Linked DNA regions of Caenorhabditis elegans. The protein of the gene in region 1 interacts with the protein of each later gene in a pairwise test. Each region holds a gene or a part of one and is shown in the gene's direction. Other genes may lie near its edges. The genes, in order: ifo-1 and B0303.7.

Region 1 (10,146 bases):
AGTAACCATAATCAAGTATAACGATATGAAAACTTTCAAAACGAACTGCTCAGCCAGTCCACAAGCGGCATACTGTTAGTTTATTTCGGCAAATTTTGTCAGTTCAATTTGAAAATTTATTTATTAAAAAAGGATTAAGAACTCACCCAAGAGAATGCCCATCGTTTTTAGTGTTATTTCTAGTGTTATACCAAGTCAATTCAGATATTTCAAAAAATGCAACATTCTCTGATGTGCCTTCTTCTTTTCTTTGCTTTGCTCTCCAAAAATGACTAACGAGTGGAATGTTATCTTATCAAAAACTGCATCATTCAGCATTTGACAAGAGTTTCACTGGCGCTGAAATCAACATTTTCACTTCTCGACTCTTCCTAACTTTTTTTCTAAAATTGCTCATTACTTCTATAGATTAACTTTTTAGTTTTGATTTAGTTTGGGTCAACAAAAATGAGTAGTATTCGATACAGGAGACCACCAATCATAGAACGAAGATATGAAAGAACTCCATCATATTCGGTAACTTCAAGAATATTCGATTTCAGTAATAAAACTGTTTTCAGACGATTCCAAGGGATATTCATGTCTCATTCTACCATAATAACTATCACAGATCAAAGATTTTGTATTTGAATAAGTTCAACGCAATGGAAAAATTAATTGAAGCTGCACACGAATTGTATCCATCAAATGGTGTTTATCGTCTATTTTCGGGTGAGTTTTTTGAAATGAAAAAATATTTGTAATAATTTTTTAATAGATAGTACAATTGGTGCTCAAAACGAGTTGAATGATTCAGTGCAAGTTATGGAATGTGTTCAAAATCCTGATCATATTCTTCCACATCTACATATAAGACTGGAAGGTAAGATTTTACGGAAAACTTTTTAAAAAACAGTTCCATAGTCCTATTATAACAACCTTGTTAGTTCTTTGTTAGATAATCTTACAATTTGAAAATTCAATTATTCAAATTAAGTTTTTTTAAAAAAAGGAACAATGATCTTTCAAAGTATTTTTTATTTTCAAATTTTGAGAAATTTCAAGTTGTTTTGCAAAGGTGTGTTCTTATGTAACTCAAAACTAATAGTAACAAAATTTTTAAAAATTTAATTTTTCAGATTACCGTCCCAGAAGCATAAGCCGTAATTATCACGAAGTTAACGTTCCAATAATTCGAACTCCATCTCAACATTCAATCCATCAATCTGTTCGATTCAACGATAACAAACGTCATCACCATCATCATCATCATGATTCAATAAGAAACTTCGTCCATCATGACACTCCATGCCGAAACTGTTTCCGTATAATTGTTGGAAGCCGTTATCACTGTCTTCAATGTCCAGACTATGATATTTGTGGAGACTGTGAAAAAGATTTGGTTCACTACGAGCATGCTCTTCTACGAATTGTGACTCCAAGGGTTACAAGTATTCCTGATTATGTCACAGTTAACGCCCCAAGTTACATTTTCCCAGAACATCGTTATGATATCAAAAGAGAACATTATCATTGGTTTTAAATTGTATTTTATAGTTTTGTTGTTTTTCCTATTTATGTTGTGAACTTAGTTTTTCTGTCGGATTTCTGTCCTATCTTGTTATACTTAAAAAGACCAAAAAAGTTATGTAATTGCAGAAGTGCAAAAAACCAAGACGCATCCTCCATTCAATTTTAATTTCCTGAAATCTATCTCGCAAAAAAAAAAACAAAAAAAAAAATTCCCTCTTATTTTGAATTTTAAAATTAAATTTTTCTTGTGCTTTTCAGAAATCTGTTCCAATTGAATTTTCATTCCTATTGACTTGTAGGACTAGAATTAATAACACCGCGGACCACCTTTATTGAGAATTTCAAAAACATTTTGTAGGCCATGTTTCCAATTTTTAATTGTCTTAAAATTAACACAATGTTTCAAAATTTCTATTTTAATTGGCTCCATAGAACACTTTTCCATGTAATTAGAAAATGCCTACCTGCCTGACACCTAGAAAGTGACCAACGCTTACTGTGCATTGAAAGCATGCAAGTAGGCATTTTTGCATGCGTGGGAGGTTTCTACAACTCAGCCAAAGCAGTCTATTGTACCTACCCATTCCTTATTTATTCTTCCGCAATCACCAATGACGCGTTCATGATTTTTCACTTTTTCAAAAACAAAATTTGATTGTCACTGCCCTTATTAACTTTTGCCCACGCTTATTAAATTAGTTTCACTCCTGCAATTCAAATCCTACTAAAACCTCTCTGAAAATGTTATTTCTCCTTTTTGTTCAATAAAACTCAAATTTGAACATATTCTGATTCTGAGTTACACAAATATTTTCAGTCCCTTCAACCTATCATAAACTTTGATATTTGCTCAACATTTTGGAGAAAGCGATGAAGGAGTCAAAAACGGGCGGCCCCGTTGCATTCCTCCTCCAAACGCACCAAAAACTGATAAGATGTTGTTAAGAAGAAGAAGGCACCAAAGAAAGATTCTCTTATCACATTTTTTGGCAGAGAGGGAAAGAATTGCGCCTATTTCAGTTGATTGTTCACCCACCATTTACTACACTATTCCAACATTTTTATTGACTCTTTTCGTTGGAATTTTCCATCGAGTTCAAGGAATACTACTTCCACTCTACCTTTTCAAACTTCTTTGTTGTTTGCTTAATTTTTTCCTAACTTTTTCACGACTGAAATTACGAATTCTCAAGTTCAACTGTCCGTTGTACAAAATTCGAATACGATTTCAGCATGGGAGACCTACAAGTCGACTTGAATGCAGCACTTGTAGCCGTTAAACAGAAATGTGTGGACTTGGATGAACAAATTCGAAGAGAGAATGATGTAAGTTGTGTTCAAGATCCATAGAAAATGTAAATTTTCTGGTTTTTTCAGAGATCAGAAAATCGCGGACGTGGATATCTGGGAGTTCGTCGATACATCTATGCATTGACCACCAAGAAGAATGAGGTCTGTTTTTATTTTAAAAGTGTTTTTTTTTTGAAAGAGCTGGCATTAATTTTATTTTGGACTAATTTTTCAAAATTCCGCAATTCGCCTACGATATTTGCAACTCATTGCTCTACTTTGACAGCTCTCGGTTCACTTTGGGTTTATGTTATCAAAAAATTGCCAACTGACAAAATACGCGCATACTATTTTTTCTATATTTTGCTTATTAAACAACTGTTATAAAAGACAACCAAGATATAAATAAAGCAGTTTGGGTGCAAGTCTAATAGTGAAAATACGGTAAATGTGCACTTAACTTTTAATCATTTTTTCTGATTTAATTTCGATGTTTCACACAAAAACCACAAAACACAAAAGTTTAGTATTTTAGAGAAACTATGTTTTCCAAATTTCGACCTCAACTTTGACTCATTCTTAATCCCCTCCTACCTTCCAAAAATTTAATTAGTCATCATAATTGCGGATTGCAAATGCCACAGTGCGTAGTAAAATATCAAAATTTCGGCCGCAATCACTGATAACAGATGCCATTTCTTTTTGTTTAGAAGCATTGTGCAAGTGTCATAAAATGAGAAGGAAGTAGGCGATTCGGGGTGATGATGACGTGGCAAACATTGAAAGTATTTTCAGAACCATCTACAACGACGTGGGCGATCTTTGACAAGGGTGTACGTGGAACAAAAGTTTTACAGATCTGTGAGTTTTTGAAAATGAGAAAGTTGTTTTTGTTATTTTTGGGTTGGGTACAAATTCGTATCATTCTGAAGAACAGGTGTTATAATGCTTTGATAAATCGTTAATACGATATTGAACTTTTCAAGACTATTTTTGAAGACTATTTTAGAAGATGATTGTGCATTGTACATAGAATTACCAATGTGATAAACTGTATGTAAAAAAACTACCAGAAATGTTTTAATGCTTCATCTATTTTTTGTTTTTAAAAAAACAGCAAAAAAGGTTATTTCATAGTTCAATATTTATGAAACAAATAGTAAAAGAGTGCAAACATTTAGAATTAAAAAACAACAAAAATGCAGAAAATAAACGTTTTCGATATTTAAGTTTTTCAAATAAAATCAACGAAATAAATATTCATAATTCCTCCTTTCAGAAATCTGTACCATCTCCGGATCAAGTTCAACGCCTCGAGGATTGCACACAGGATTACGGACCAAATGATGAAGAACGCCTGGAATACGTGGAAACTGTTGATGCTCCATTGGAAGAGCTCATTAAAGAAGATCAGTCTCATCGCCATGTCGTCTCACAAAGACTTCCACAAGGGCACGGAGAATGGGATCATGAACTTGCAGTTTATGAAGAAGATGGTGGTTCTGGGCTTTTGGAGGATCGAACACTGACTGTGAGAGCTGGAGATCATCCTTTCGGAATGAATCAATTCAACGAAGTGGCAGAGGATATTAGTGCAAGAATCGCCAAGTTTTTTGCTGAGAAAGAAGAGAACCACATCAGAACTCGTGAGCTTTCTCTTTCAGTTCATCCAGTTTATCATCAAAGTAATGGAGATGCATACACTTCATTTGGAATGTCCAGGTCAAAATCAATGGGATCAGTTGCTCACGAAGCACATCAAACATCTAACAATCAACATAGTTCTGAAACTCATGGAACTGCTTCTTCAACTCAGTCACGACCACGTTTGGATCAAGTCTCTTCCACTACAAAGTCCTTAAGCAATTTGTTTAGTGTTGACACTCGTCATGACTACAATTCTCGATATGGAAATTATGTATCTGGATATGGACATTATGGAACACCACTTCCACCAGCGAAAAATCAAGAAGTAATGCCAAAAATGCCAGCGAAGAAGTCGGAGCACATTTATGATGAGCCAATTCATAGAACATCTACCACAAATGTGTATTCAAGCACTTATGAGAGAAAATATGACTTCAAGTGAGTACCAAATCTGTAATTGATTGCTAAACTTTTTTATAGAACAACATTCCCACCAGAAATCGAAATGCCAGAAGGATATCACGATTATTATGATCCGAGCAAGTTCATGTTCTTGGATGCAAAAGGTTATTATCAGGTGAGCAAAAAAAACTTGAATTGGAAGACAATTTTTGAATACTTGACTTGTAAATTTAATAGAACCAAATTATTCTCAGTCCATCCAATTTTTTTCAGGGCAACATCACTCGCCCACTTCACTATTCCTACTCTCGTGACTATCTAGAAAAGTACTCGGACTACGACGGAACATCACGACTTCCATCTCCAGCTCCTCCAAAGACCCCGGAGCCAGCATACACTGTGCTCAATAGATCAGAAGATCTCCCACATCACCCTACCCATTTGTCTTTCTCGTTCCCAGACTATTACGATCACGCCACTCAAATCATTCTCAGTCGTGATCCTGGACTTGAACATATTCCATATAAAATTGGGCCATTTGCTGATTACTATGACAATGTTCATCGTATCATTCTGTCGCATACCAAAGATTTGGATCATTGTAAAATTGTAATTCCGTCGTTCCCAGATTACTATGATCTGTCAACTAGATATGAAGTGCTTCATCGAGTTGAAGACATTCTTCATGAGCCAATTGTGATCGAGGAATATCCGGCATATTGTCCATATGAAGACACGAAATATGAAGTACAAGAGAAATCTGTGACATTGGACGATGAGCATATATACGAGGAAGTGTATGAACCTCCACTACCTCCACTTCCACCTCCAGCACCACCAATAGTTGTTCATGTTCTGAACTACACTAGAGATCACGATCACATTGTATTCGTCCCATTGCTTCCTTACATTCCACCACCACCTCCACCTCCAGCAGAGATTATTCACGTTGCAACTCCAGCTGAAGTAATTGAAGAAGAACCAGAGCCAGTTCCAGTGCCAGCTAAACGTCATTATGATGATCTTTATATCGGAAATGACGCTCTTGATGTATCAGTGTCTCCACATTTTAATCAATCCAATGATCAAAAGAATTTGGGATTAGAAAAGAGTGTCACTGATAGAGTTAGAGAAATGGAAAGAGCAATGAGAGGAGAAGAAAGGGAAAGACTTTTGGAAGAAGAAAAGCGAAGGAAATATCTGGAACTTCAGAATGAGATTAAGGCAGCACGGGAATACGAAGAAGAACATGCATATGAAGAGATTCAAGAAAGTGAGTTGACTTTTGATTGAATAATAAGTTAAGAAGCAACGATTCCGCCATAAAAGCAAAGTTGATACGTAGAATAGGTTGTATTCAAACGAAATATGAAATTTCCAATCGAATTATAGAAACTTCTACCCCATCTTCACCTTGTAAGATTAAATGTGATAAAAGGAAATTACCAAATCGTGAGTGTGTTGTAGAATTTGACTAGAAATGGAAGATGAAATAGATAATAGTAGTATAGATTTCCCTGCAATCTTCGGTGAAAATGACAGCTTTTTGAATGATATCAATAGCTAAAATTCCCATCATTCCCACCAAATTTTTACTGTTTCAGGCAAGAACACTCCTTGTCCAGTATCACAGCCTATTCTTATTCCATCGGTGTTTGTCCCAGTGGCAGTTCCAGAACCTATCCCGGAGAAACCGAAACGAACATGGCAGCCACCTCCAAAATCCGAAGAATTTTTGGACGAGCATATTGACAAGCCACTTGGCCCTGTCATTTTCCATGAGTTGATCTACCGCAACGGATTTTTGCTTAAAATGAATGAAGAAAATCATATTCTAAGTCAAACCCGTCCAGTCAGTCATCCAGTTTCTCGTGCCAACTCTCGACCAACGACGCCTGGATTAGAGATCAAAACTATCGATTTTCCACGTCTCGATGATGCCGCATCCCCAAGAGATCACTCTGATTCTGCTGGAAATGTTGATTATGTGCATAAACATATCGAACGGTACAATGCGAAGGATGGTAATGATCTGATTAAAACTGTTTATATCTAAGAAAGTGTATTTTCAGCCTCTGTTGTCCAAGATTCTCACGACGAGAGTCGAGCTCATTCGCATATGCTTTCAAATACCGTCCAAACTCATACACATTCTCAATTAATCAATCAGAATCAGGCGACTCATTATGATGCTTATGCTACTTCTCAACACTCGAATGCTCAAGAGTATTCAACTGTTCATGGATCACAAACTCATCGAGGAAGTGTAGTATATGATGAACCACATGGACAAGTTGTCTATGATATTCCACACGATCAAGGTAAAATATTTAAATTATAATTGAAAATATAAAATTTTCTGTTTCAGAACATCACCATTATGACACTGTTCACGTTCAACACCATCATCATCATCATTATCATACAGATGGCAGTGAACATGTTCATCACTATCATCAAGATGAAAATGCTCATCAACACAGTACAGCTGAAAATGAACATATTCATCACTATCACACAACATCAAATGAAAATGCTCACCATCATCACTCGGTTCAAAATGAGAAAGATATTCAATATCAGCTGGCTCAAAGCAACCAATCGATTCGACAAATGAGCAAGACCAACAACTGGGATGAACAAAATATTCAATCATCAAAGAGAGCTCACATTGAGGCACACATTCCGGTTAACTCACCATTTGTGAAAAGAGAAGATTCAAGAGTTAGCACCACTTCTCATGTGAGCACAGCTTCAACTGCAACTACCACGGGAACTGTTGTTCAGTGCTCGAACTCGTTGAATCGCCAAAATATTCCAGCTCCATTGAAAATTCAAAACGGAAACTCAGAGTCCTATCACGGTATGACATGTTTCAAAGAGGTGTTTCTATAAATCTCGTAATTTCAGAACACAATCATCACCAGCATGTGCATTTTGACAGTGTTGAAAATTCGGAAAACATTGCTCATCAATGTAAATCAACAACTTCCTTGGACTACCAGCCAGTTCATGTCGGACATGTCAAAAATTTGGCAAAACTTTTCAAGTTCGTAGATTCTTTTTAATTTCTAGATTTTAATTCTCGAATTCCAGTAAGCCCGACGAGAAGCCACTGACAACTGAGCAAGTGATCTACCGTGTCAGTGCTGCACCACCTGGTCATCACTTGGAACCAGGTATTTGACATTTCGTCAGCTGATTCTTTTTAGTTTCAAAATAATATTCAGAGATTAAACCTCGTCCACGTTCTTTGCCCCGCATTCCACTTGATGAGATTGAACTCCATGAGCATGGAAGTAAAGATCATATGACACGTCATCATCATGAAATGCACCAGGGTACTGTAGATGAGCACAGTGAACATGGTTATTCTATTGGTGGTGGTGCACAAAGGATTGATGTTTCAGCAAGAAGTAAGTTTGAAAAATCTAAAAGAATTATCACCATCCGCTGAACGTCTAATAATAAATATTTCTACAATCAGAATTTTCAGCTTCATCAACAGTGATGCACTCTCCACCTGTCCAAGTTCAACACAACTCATACTATCATCGTCAGTCATCAGACGAGGAGTCAATCCGTGTTCGTCGTGTCTACAAGGCCCTAGATGACACTTCAATGCTCTCTCCGGTCTCCTTGTCCGGCGATGGACCAAATTTTTAAATTCCGAATAAGAAACAATTTCATCTCCGTTGATTTCATTGCCTCTAGACTTTCAAATTGATTCAACAATTCTTAATCTTCCGATTTCGGTCAGAAAATACCTGTCATTTTCAATTTTTGTTTGTATTCCTAACATTTTCTAATAAACTTAACTGTGAAGTCCAGCCCCGCCAAGAATAACGAGCATTTCCTTATGAGGCCCAGGGGGAACATTCAGAACTTGACACTCGAAATTACAATGCAATGAGGGCCGTAAGATTATCTTTTCAGAAAATATATTTTTGAACCAATTTCCAGTTTAATGACCATAGATCATTGCATGCCACTCACCGAAAATTGAAATTTGGCAACAAACATTTTGGATCTTCCAACAAAAAAAAATGCATACACTTGTTCATATTTTTTGCAATGTCCAACGTATCCCTTATGACTAACGTGAAATGTTTATATAAATACATTGTTAGTGTCATAGTCTCTACGCCTTTCTTTTCTTTCTCTGTTTTTTCTCTGCGTCTCTTCATCCCATCCACTATTTTCTCACCTCTAACTCTTCCGGGGGCCCCGTCAACAACGGCCGCCTCCTACCCGGTCGCTGGCGCGCTCTCTTTCTCGTATCTTTTTGTTCTCAATTTCTCAAAATCTCTCTATATTTACCCAGTGCTTCTTAACTTTTTTGTCACACGTCTCTCCACAACGAGGAACAGCCGCAGAACAGAAACAGAAACATACGCGTGCGCGCGCGCCTCTTTCTCTCCGTCGGTCTGCCTGAAAATGAGAGGATGCGGGGGGCTTCTCTGTTCCTCTAACTTCCTGCGTTTCTTCATTTGTTGTCTATCTCTCATTTTTGGGTCGCTTCATTCTCTCTTAGTTCCTCTGTGAGGGAGGCTTGATGAATTGAGTGCATTCTCTCTTTCTCTCATTACGAAAAGGGCATTATCCTTTCGAGCTTCATCTTATTGTCTTTTTCCTTAAAAAATTACCTAAGTGGCCCTTTAACTTCTAGATAGACCTTGGATTTAGACTCTATCGTTTACATCCTCTATTTCAATTAAGCAAAATCCATTTTGCATTCCATATATCATATTATTTCTCACAGAAATAAGCTCTTACTCGAGCAAGTTCCCCAATATAATCCGCCTTATTCCCACCAGCAACCGGATAAACCTTTGAGTTCTGATATTTGATTAAAGGCTTTATCCTACTCGACGAAATGGGTTTTTGCATAAATATCCCAGTTTAACTCGGATATAACCTTGATATTTTTATAGAAACCAAGTGTCATAGAAATTTGCCAAGTGACTTTTTTTGTTCATTTGAACTTCCACTTATTTAAATAATTTTTCTTGAGAGGTCAAGTTCTCTGAACGTTATTCCTCTTCCAAAAACTCATTCAACCTAACAAAAATTGCAACAAAAAATTCTTTTGCCACAAAAAACGACATTCTATTTCATTCTTTCCGCTCTTTCGCATTTTTCATTTCGTGCTCCACCAGAAATTTCAAGGGTCCCATTCTCCTATAAATGGTAAATATTTTTGTGTTTTTCTTTGCTGTCATTTTTGTTCGTTGATTTCCAAATTCCCAAAGGAATAAAAAACTCTTCCGCAGAAGAAAAAAAAACATTCCCTCG
Region 2 (9,878 bases), on another chromosome or scaffold:
TAAATTCTTTTTATAAAATTTAACAAAAAGGTTGTTTTCCTAAAAAAGCGTGCAATTGCCCGTCGATTAGTGCGCTTTCACGTATCGATTCTCTGCGCCAAGGAACATTTTAACCAACACGCTTCTCTTTATTTCTCTCAGTCTCTCAAGCATCATCTGATTTCATATTATTCTTCACTTTATTCTTCATTATTCCAGACAACACAACTAGACAAAAATGAATGCATTAATTGTTAAATCTGCACTCGAATATTTAGAGGTAAGTTGAACATTTATTGATTTTTTGAACCCTTTTCCCATTTTTTCATTGTTATGAAAAAGTGTCAAATTGAAATTGTTTAACTTCAAATCTAAAAAAAACTATTTTCAGCTAAGCACAGTCGTCGCAATATTAATCATCATAGCATGTGCACTTTTATCATATCAAATCTCTGCTCGAAGGCCTTTATATTATAACTTATTTGTTGTAGAAATGCACACTTGGACAACTAGGAGGATGGTGCAGGTAATTTTATTTAAATATTAAAAGAAAAAAAAAACGAAAAACACTATTGGAAAATTTCGAATAAATTTCTAAACTTCAAAATACAGGTTCTTCATCTCGGTCAAGAGTTCACACCGCCCGTCACATGGGAACGATTAGTTCAACGAATGAGGGCAAGAGCTCCACGAATTCAAGGAGAGCAAAGAGTGGCAATTTCTGATACAAATATTGTGATACAGTCGCCGAATACGGTTATTGATTCACCAGCTCCTGCAAGGTTTACTTTTAAAAATGTATTCAAATGTTTAATATTTCCAATTCCAGATCACCAGACGTTGACCTAATAACATTATGGGACATTGAAATGCCGCCACCGAGTGCTGGTCACGTGCCTGACGCCACAAGGGATAGTCAGTATGCTGCTGCAGCGGCGATAGCAATTTTAGCTAGAGGGTTAGTTTTTAAAAAGTTTAATTTAAGGTTTAAAACATTCAAAAATTCTGTATTTTTCCAGAGACGACGCATCTTTGATGTCTCGAACGTACAGGCCTCAACTTCGTCCACCAACAGAACGATCTGGAAATACTCGAGTTGATGAGTCGAGACCCAGCGTAAATGAAGAAAAAAAATTGATTTTAAAATAATTTATTTTGGTTCAGGAAAATTCTTCACGACATGATTACGTTACTACAGACGTTACGTATACGACTCCATGTAAGTTTTTCATATTGCTTTTTTTCGAAACTTTACCCGAACAATTTTAGCTAAAACTTCAAATATGACATAAAATCGACAATTTAATATTTATTTTCAATTTTTTGTAGGAAAAGCCTGAAAATTAGAGAAGAGATGAAACTAATTCATTTAAAAAATTAGAATCAGTTTCTTAATTTTTTAACAGTTACATTCGGTCATTCCGGCCTTTTTTATAATTAAAAGTAAAATCCCCGCCTGAAAATTAAAAATGTATGGATTTTCAGCAATAAACCCGGATATGCAACATCATCTTTCAACAAGAACGTCAAATGTAACACAAACTCAGCCTCCAACAAATCAAGTGTTCGCTGATACACCAGAGCTTACAGAAGATATTGTGATAGATCAACAGGAAGAAGATGATGAAGAGGATGACGATGACGATAGTTCAGATGATGCAATAATAGAAGATCATGAAGAAGAAGAAGGTCAAGATGATGATGAAGAAACTGAAATTGAAATTGATAGAGGAGGTCCTATTGAAGAAATTGAGCAAGTCGAAGTTGAGCAAAATGAGGATCCGCCACTGGATGATCAAGAAGTAGAAGCTCAACCGGAGCAAGTTCTTCAAGAAACTAAAGAATCCGAATTTCCAGTAATCGAAGGACCATCAGAAGGGAAGATTTTGATAAAGCTAAAGTTTATGAATGATACCGAGAAAAACACGTATGCATCACTGGAGGATACTGTAGCAAAGTTCAAAGTAGATCATTTCACAAATCTTGCGAATCAGGTCATACGGCTCATTTATCAAGGTATCTTTAATTTTTTATGTAAAGTAAAAACAGTTAGTAATGTATTTTAAAGTTTAAAAAAATTAATGAAAACAAATGTTTGGCATTTGGCAAAAAAGCTTTTTAAAAAATATTTCAAAAATGATAAAAAATAAGTGAAAACAAAGATCTAACGATTATTTTTTGCGAATTCCATAAAATTTCTGAAAATATAGAACACAATTTTATTGGCCTATATCTAAAGTATTCGTTGAAAGACACAAAAATGTACCTATCGACCGCAATTTATTTTGTTGATAATTTGATAGATTGGAAAAATTGTGAAAACGTGCCACAGTTGAAAGTTTTATAGAATTCCCAAAATTTAATACCACTGGCTCATAATCCTGAAAATCAAATGGAAAAATGAATATTAAAAAAAACTATTTGAAAAAATTAAAAGTCTTTTCTTCAAGCCTAAATAATTTTTAACTGAATTTTTCAGGCCAACTTCTCAGAGAAGATCATCGAACGCTAGAAGAATATGGTCTTCAACCAGGAAGTATAGTTCATTGTCATATTAGTACAACACCATATACACGACCAGGAATAGCAACTCTTCCTCCAATTGTCAATAATGGTTTTCGACGAAGACCTCGAAGATCCGTCAGAGCTCCACGTGACACAACTCCAATGCCGTCGGAAAGTGTTCCAGTAGTTGATGAGAATGTTACAACAGCAAGAAGAAGAGCTGCGCAGGACAGAAATGTTGGACAGATCTATTTACTTTTATCAACAATGGTTCCAATTCTTTCTGGAATTGGATTGGCATTTTTCCGTCCTGATCGAATTCGAGATCTACTTCGGCCAGCCACACTTCTGACGATTAGCCAATGGGTATGCAATTTACTTGTTGATAATGGATTGTTGGAACAAGATGATGATGATCAGGAAACTCATTTGCAAACTTCAACATTATTTTGGATTTTTGGAGGTGATTCTAATTTTCAAAAAAAAACACGTCAAAACGCAATATTTATTACAGGTCAAATGGTCGCAGTGAGCATATTTCTGTACTACTTTCCAGATGTATTTGATCGAGTCGGCTTTTCGATCTTCATTATTGTATTTCTTTACTTCGTTTTTGTGGTTTATTCACGTCAGCGACGACGCCAACCGGATCCTGTTGAGGTTCAAAATGAAATGATGGAAAATCAAATCGTCCAGGAGACTATTCGTCTTCTGTAAATTTTAATTTATATTTCACAGTGAGTTTTTATTTATTAGGAAAAATAAATTAAATTTACTTCAAAAAAACTTTTTAATTAATTGAAAACGAAAAAGTTATGAATTTATTTTCTTTTGAAAAAAGCTTTCGAAAAAAAACCAGAAATATTAATTTTTGCTTTAAAATTGAGTTTCGATTAAAAAGCTAACAAATAAATAGTTGTTTTTATTCAGCAATAGATTTTTCAATTTTCAGATTCTTGTACACTTCAAATCGAAACCATTATGATTCTAGCCACAACAAAATTGCACACAAAATGGGTATCAAAACACTTGGTTTTTTTTTCAAAATTTTCCACTTGAAACGGATCAGACAGAGGATGAGAAGATCCAAACATACACACATCGAATACTGCGAAATTTTATTCAATAATTCTTATTCCCCCCACCCCGTCCGTGTGTTCTGTGTATATTTGACTCGGTTCTTGTTTTTCATCTTTCTTTTGCATCATCATTAGATACTTCACTAGTAATAAATTGGTAGCTTTTATACAATTGTGGACTACAAAAAATACAGTGCTAAAGGATGTTTGATTGTAAACTTCGAAGAAGGCAGCAGCACAATTGAGTTGAGTAAATATGGAGAAAAGTTGGAGGCAAATAAACCCTTCAAGACCCCCTTTGGATTCACTTTTCCACCCAGATAGATAGTTGCTCCAACATTGAGAATAATGGTAAGGCTACCACCTCCAACGCCACCACGGAAGCCTAATATATGTGGGACATCTGGAAATTCAAATGGAATAAATGAGAATATTGGTAAGTTTTTTTTTAAACTTTATGCTGATTTTCAGATGTTTGTGAGATTTTTAGAGAAATAATTAATTCTAAAAATAATTTCGATGTATTTTTAAATGAAAAAAAAAACCACTTTTCGAAATTATAATTTTGAGATAAATTTAATTAACCTGAAAGCAGGATCTGCGAGCGAACGGCAAAATTCGCAAAAATAGGCGGTAGGCAGGTATGTAGGCAGTAAGGCTAGAGGCAGACACGAAAATGTAAATTCCTACGGCAGCTTTATCGGAAAAGTTGAGACGACTAATTTTTTAATAGTGATAAAGAATATGTGCCTTTCAGGAGTACTGTAATTTTCTGCAACGAAAGTCTGAAATTACAGTACCCCTTAAAGGCGCATATTCTTTTGAATCCAGCAAGCATTTGTCGTGTCGAGACCAGGCATCTATTTTTGGCATATGGGTAATATAATTTGATAAGTTGGAAAATATTGAAATTTTTTTTAAATTTCATTAAAAAACATTTGCTGTCACAATTACCACAAAATTTCCACATATTGTTCATAGATTTTTCGTTTTGGAGCCAAGAAAAGGTTCTCGCACTTGTCAGTATGTAGATAATTATAGGAAATCTTGCAATATACAGTGTGGGAAAGTTCTATAGGACCCCCCCTAATTTGAAGGTTTGAGGAACTTCCGAAAATTTTTTCGAAAAACTGCTAATGCCGTTCGTTTTTAAATTGAAAAAAACCTATATACATTTTTTTCCAGAAGTTTATCTCAAAAACTGAGGTCGCGCTGGAAAAAACGTCAAAATCCAGTGTGAAACTTCTATAGGACCCCCCGTTTTTTTTCACGATTTTTACTAAAATCAACAGATTTTGGAATTTTTGACAAAGCTCAAATCAAGTTTGAGTTAGAAATGAGTTCAGATAAGCAGTTTTGACTTTAAAAATTAATACGAAATGTTCTCGTGGGATCTCCAGACTGGTTCTGATTCTTCCGATCTTTGATGTTCAAGTCTGTTTCAAGCTTCCTGGTGCTCTCGGTAATGCAAAAACTTGATAAACTCTCTTTAACAAGTTCCTACTAAAATTCCTAGCACGCACTTTAGATGTTTCGACTGTGTAGTCAAGCTGATTTGGCAAAATATGCAGCAGGAAACAATGGAAGGCTTATCAGGAATCAAATCGTTTTTCTTTGATTACAAGGTTCCATGGGACCAATATTTCAAGTTAAATTGTCCCTCACAGATGTTATTTACTATTTTTTGCGTGAATTATTAAATGTGGAATTGTGGCATGTGTTGTGGCACACATATAGAGGCTGGAAAGCTTACTTCGAAAGCAGTCTAACTTGCAATGCCTCGAGGATCTGCCCTTTCGGACACTGAACGCGCTCAGCTGGATGTTATGAAATTGCTCAATGTGTCCCTGCATGAAATGAGTAGGAAAATTTCCCGTTCTCGACACTGTATTCGCGAGTATCTGAAGGATCCGGTGAGCTACGGTACATCTAAAAGAGCTCCTCGTCGCAAAGCTCTCTCCGTGCGTGACGAACGAAATGTGATTCGTGCTGCCTCCAACTCCTGTAAGACGGCAAGAGATATTCGCAATGAGCTTCAATTGTCTGCTTCAAAAAGGACCATCCTCAATGTCATCAAACGATCTGGTGTAATCGTTCGTCAGAAACTTCGCCCTGCTCCGTTACTCTCTGCAGACCATAAACTCAAGCGATTGGAATTTGCTAAGAACAATATGGGAACGAATTGGAGTAAAGTGAGAATTTAAAAAAGCAAGAGTGAATAATTAGGATCATTGTTTTAGGTTGTCTTCTCCGATGAAAAGAAATTCAATCTCGATGGGCCTGACGGTTGCCGCTACTATTGGCGCGATTTGCGCAAGGAACCAATGGTTTTTTCGAGACGTAATTTTGGAGGAGGAACGGTGATGGTTTGGGGAGCGTTCACGGAGAAGAAGAAGCTTGAGATACAGTTCGTCAGTAGCAAGATGAACAGCACTGACTATCAGAACGTCTTGGAACTGGAGCTCTCCAAATATCTTCGTCACTACTCCAGAAAAGACTTTAGATTTCAGCAGGATAATGCGACAATCCATGTGAGCAACTCAACCCGCGACTATTTCAAGCTCAAGAAGATCAACCTTCTTGATTGGCCAGCTCGAAGTCCTGATCTCAATCCAATCGAAAATTTGTGGGGGATTCTTGTCCGTATCGTGTATGCTCAGAACAAGACTTACCCAACAGTTGCATCGTTGAAGCAAGGAATTCTCGACGCTTGGAAGTCTATTCCGGACAACCAGCTGAAAAGTTTGGTCAGATCAATGGAGGACAGACTGATTGAGATCATCCGCACACAAGGAAACCCGATTAACTATTGATCCTTTCTTGATTTTAGTATATGAATGTTCTGTTGTTGATCAAAAATAACTGCAACTTGTTAATACGCTGTTTCTGACTGGTTTCTTGGGGATGGCGTAAAAATGTTTATGGTGTGTGTGCTAGGAATTTTAGTAGGAACTTGTTAAAGAGAGTTTATCAAGTTTTGGCATTACCGAGAGCACCAGGAAGCTTGAAACAGACTTGAACATCAAAGATCGGAAGAATCAGAACCAGTCTGGAGATCCCACGAGAACATTTCGTATTAATTTTTTAAAGTCAAAACTGCTTATCTGAACTCATTTCTAACTCAAACTTGATTTGAGCTTTGTCAAAAATTCCAAAATCTGTTGATTTTAGTAAAAATCGTGAAAAAAAACGGGGGGTCCTATAGAAGTTTCACACTGGATTTTGACGTTTTTTCCAGCGCGACCTCAGTTTTTGAGATAAACTTCTGGAAAAAAATGTATATAGGTTTTTTTCAATTTAAAAACGAATGGCATTAGCAGTTTTTCAAAAAAATTTTCGGAAGTTCCTCAAACCTTCAAATTAGGGGGGGTCCTATAGAACTTTCCCACACTGTATATTTTATCTATTTAAAACAATAAAAGAAGAAATAACAGGATGCTCTGGAAAGCTATGATGACTCATGCTCGAATGACGTGTCTTTTTTCAATGATTTGTCGAAATATGTGTCCGAGGTGTGTCTAGTCACAACATACATTCGTCACTTTCTCTCATTCTCTCGGCAAACACAAGAGTTTCCATTGCCTATCTGTCTGCGTTTCTATAACTTATACACTCTCTCGTATTCCTAGTCTTTTTCCTTTTTCTTCCATCCATCGATTTCCCCAGTTCTCATTCTTTTTATTTCTTTTTCTGGCAGTTTTAGGGTTTCTCACGCTCTTTTGTTCGGGCTGGTGCTCAATTTTCATGTCAAAAGGTAAGATTTGAAAATTTATTTACAGTTTCGTATTATCTAAATGTCCTGAGAGTAAGGATTTCTTGAAGACGATATTTAGATATTATATAACTACATAAGTTCTAGCTAAAATTCTGACTCCCATGAAAGCAGGAAATGCCTACCTGCCTGCCTATAGGCCAGATAAAACTTGATTTGAAAAACAATTACGCCAACTTTTTTTATGAACCAAGTGATAACATTAGTTAAGGCTCCATTTCAAATAAACCAAGCTTTGTTTATTTTCATATCCTATCTATTTAGTAAACCATATTTCCAGATACCAGTACCTTCTCAGTCTCAGCCGCCAAGGCATTATTCGAGTCAGCCAAAAGACCAGAGGTTCGGAATGCCGCAATCGCAGCCGCCAAGAATCCATTCGTCAGACAAACAGCTAAAAATGTTGCACAAGATGAGAAGGCACGTGGAGCAGTGTTGAATGCTGTCAAGGACCCAAGTGGTGGAAATAAGATCTCAGCTGCATTTGCAGTTGCTGATGCTAATCGAAAGTCTGATTCAGTTCCACCACCACCACCACATCGAGGAGGAACATCGCCTGGAAAACTTTCTGGATCACATTCTGCAATTAGATCACAATTGGAAAATATGCATATCGGAGGATCGGTGATGTCAAGCAGTGAGTTTTGAAAGATTAAAAAAAAACAGATCAAACAAAAGATTATCAAAATAAAACACTCCGAAGTTTTAGATGTTTCAAAATTTATAGCTAACGTTTTGGTAAATTGCCAAATTTTCCAAAAAGCTTGGATATTCTGATAAATGTCGAGTTAATATCGAGTTAACTGCCGGAAGTAGGCGGAAGGTACAAATGTAAACAGGCAAGGGAATATCTGGAGACATGCCTACCGACTATTTTTTTCTTCAAAAAGTTCTAAAATTTCAGATTCTTCTACTGCAACTCCATCGTATCAATCCAACTCAACATCTTCTTACTCTTCATCTGCACCAGTTGCCCCGCCTCCAGTGCCACGTCATACACAATCAATCCCGTCTTATTCGGCACCAGCCATCAGTACTCCTTATGGAATTGCCAAGTTTGATTACGCTCCGACACAATCTGATGAGATGGGATTGAGAATTGGGGATACGGTTTTAATTTCTAAAAAAGTGGATGCGGAGTGGTTTTATGGTTAGTTGATTTCAAATTAATTTTTATATGGAGTAAGAGGAGATGTTCTCGATTTTTGCAGAAACAATCGCATTAAATGTTTGAAACTTAGTTACTCAATACATAATCTTCCATTGTTTCAGGTGAGAATCAAAACCAGCGCACATTTGGAATTGTTCCATCATCCTACCTTGACATCAAGATCCCATTGAAAGAAGCTTTCACAGCTCTGCCTCCACGACCAGCAGCTCCATCTGGATCATCTTCAGGCACATATGCAACTGCAATCTATGACTATAATTCGAACGAAGCTGGAGATTTGAATGTGAGTTTTTAAAAGACATCTAAAAATATTTGTAAATCTGAATGTTCTTTCAGTTCGCTGTCGGATCACAAATTATGGTAACAGCTCGTGTAAATGAAGAATGGCTAGAAGGTGAATGCTTTGGTAGATCAGGAATCTTTCCATCTCAATTTGTGGATTGTCCAAATCTTTATCAAGTTCCAATGAAACAATCAGCTCCATCATCTGCTCCATCTTATTCTCATCCAATTACAAACAATAGTGGTCCCAAACAAACCGTTACTGTATCTTATGATTACGATTCTGGAGTTGCTTCTGACCTCCGATTATTCGAAGGTGACGTCATCACAGCCCTGGAAGACATTGATGCTCAATGGTTGCTCGCAGAATGTCGTGGACAACAGGGAATGGTTCCGAAGACCTTCTTGGGACCACCATACGGATCTCCAAAGAAGGCACCGTCAAAAGGAATCGCTGAAATTGCATGTGCATTCTCTCCGAAGAAGGCAGTTGCCACTGGTGACTATCATTCCGAAGATCCCAAACATCTTTATGTGACACGTGGCGATCATTTATTGATTGTGGAAGATGTTGATGACTACTATTACAAGGGAAAATTGGAAGCTTTCAAGACTTTGCCAGCGGGTATTCTGCCAAAGAATATTGTCAAATTGGAAAATTGATTCTGGTCTTGATTATTTCTCACTAAATTCACTTTCTAGCTTTATATGTGCCAGTTTTTTGTATTTTCTAATATGTCATTTATTTACAAAATTCAAATTTTCCCCGATGCGTGTTTTGTGCCGATTGTCAAATTTTCTAGAAATGTATTTTCAATAAATTGCCTTATCAAGTGTGGGCCTAGCGTTTCCAATTAACGTTTGTAGATCAATTTCAAATAGCTCATTTCTCTGCGTTACTATAATAGTTATTTTGTGAACTTCCAAAACTTCAGAAAAATGTTAAAGTAAATTTATTGAGGAGAATAATGAATTTGAAGAATTTGTTACAATATGATGAACGTAATATTATGTAGGTTCGATTATTCAAATATTTATACGACACATTCAATTTTAGTAGACGAGAAAAATCGGCTTGGTGCATCCAAAT

Evidence for each region.
Region 2: the proteins of ifo-1 (region 1) and B0303.7 interact in a two-hybrid assay, tested with the Caenorhabditis elegans proteins (one large-scale study listed by BioGRID).

What each region holds. Positions count from the first base shown.
Region 1 is NC_003282.8:7,319,262-7,329,407, reverse strand, and holds ifo-1 (Intermediate Filament Organize), read left to right. Parts: upstream 1-2,744; 5' UTR 2,745-2,745; coding exon 2,746-2,838; intron 2,839-2,889; coding exon 2,890-2,964; intron 2,965-3,597; coding exon 3,598-3,663; intron 3,664-4,081; coding exon 4,082-4,887; intron 4,888-4,929; coding exon 4,930-5,026; intron 5,027-5,124; coding exon 5,125-6,124; intron 6,125-6,455; coding exon 6,456-6,875; intron 6,876-6,923; coding exon 6,924-7,172; intron 7,173-7,219; coding exon 7,220-7,714; intron 7,715-7,761; coding exon 7,762-7,900; intron 7,901-7,947; coding exon 7,948-8,030; intron 8,031-8,081; coding exon 8,082-8,267; intron 8,268-8,347; coding exon 8,348-8,517; 3' UTR 8,518-8,674; downstream 8,675-10,146. Other genes in the region: sqst-2 (ZZ-type domain-containing protein), read left to right, coding at 448-516, 561-711, 758-862, 1,119-1,522.
Region 2 is NC_003281.10:8,689,744-8,699,621, forward strand, and holds B0303.7 (SH3 domain-containing protein), read left to right. Parts: upstream 1-3,878; 5' UTR 3,879-3,911; coding exon 3,912-3,999; intron 4,000-7,201; exon of another isoform or gene 7,202-7,307; coding exon of another isoform or gene 7,308-7,317; intron 7,318-7,615; coding exon 7,616-7,972; intron 7,973-8,239; coding exon 8,240-8,485; intron 8,486-8,607; coding exon 8,608-8,789; intron 8,790-8,842; coding exon 8,843-9,451; 3' UTR 9,452-9,778; downstream 9,779-9,878. Other genes in the region: B0303.4 (transmembrane and ubiquitin-like domain-containing family 1 protein), read left to right, coding at 218-259, 371-505, 592-761, 809-937, 999-1,095, 1,144-1,198, 1,465-1,995, 2,459-2,947 and 1 more; sdz-1 (Skn-1 dependent zygotic transcript 1 protein), read right to left, coding at 9,823-9,878.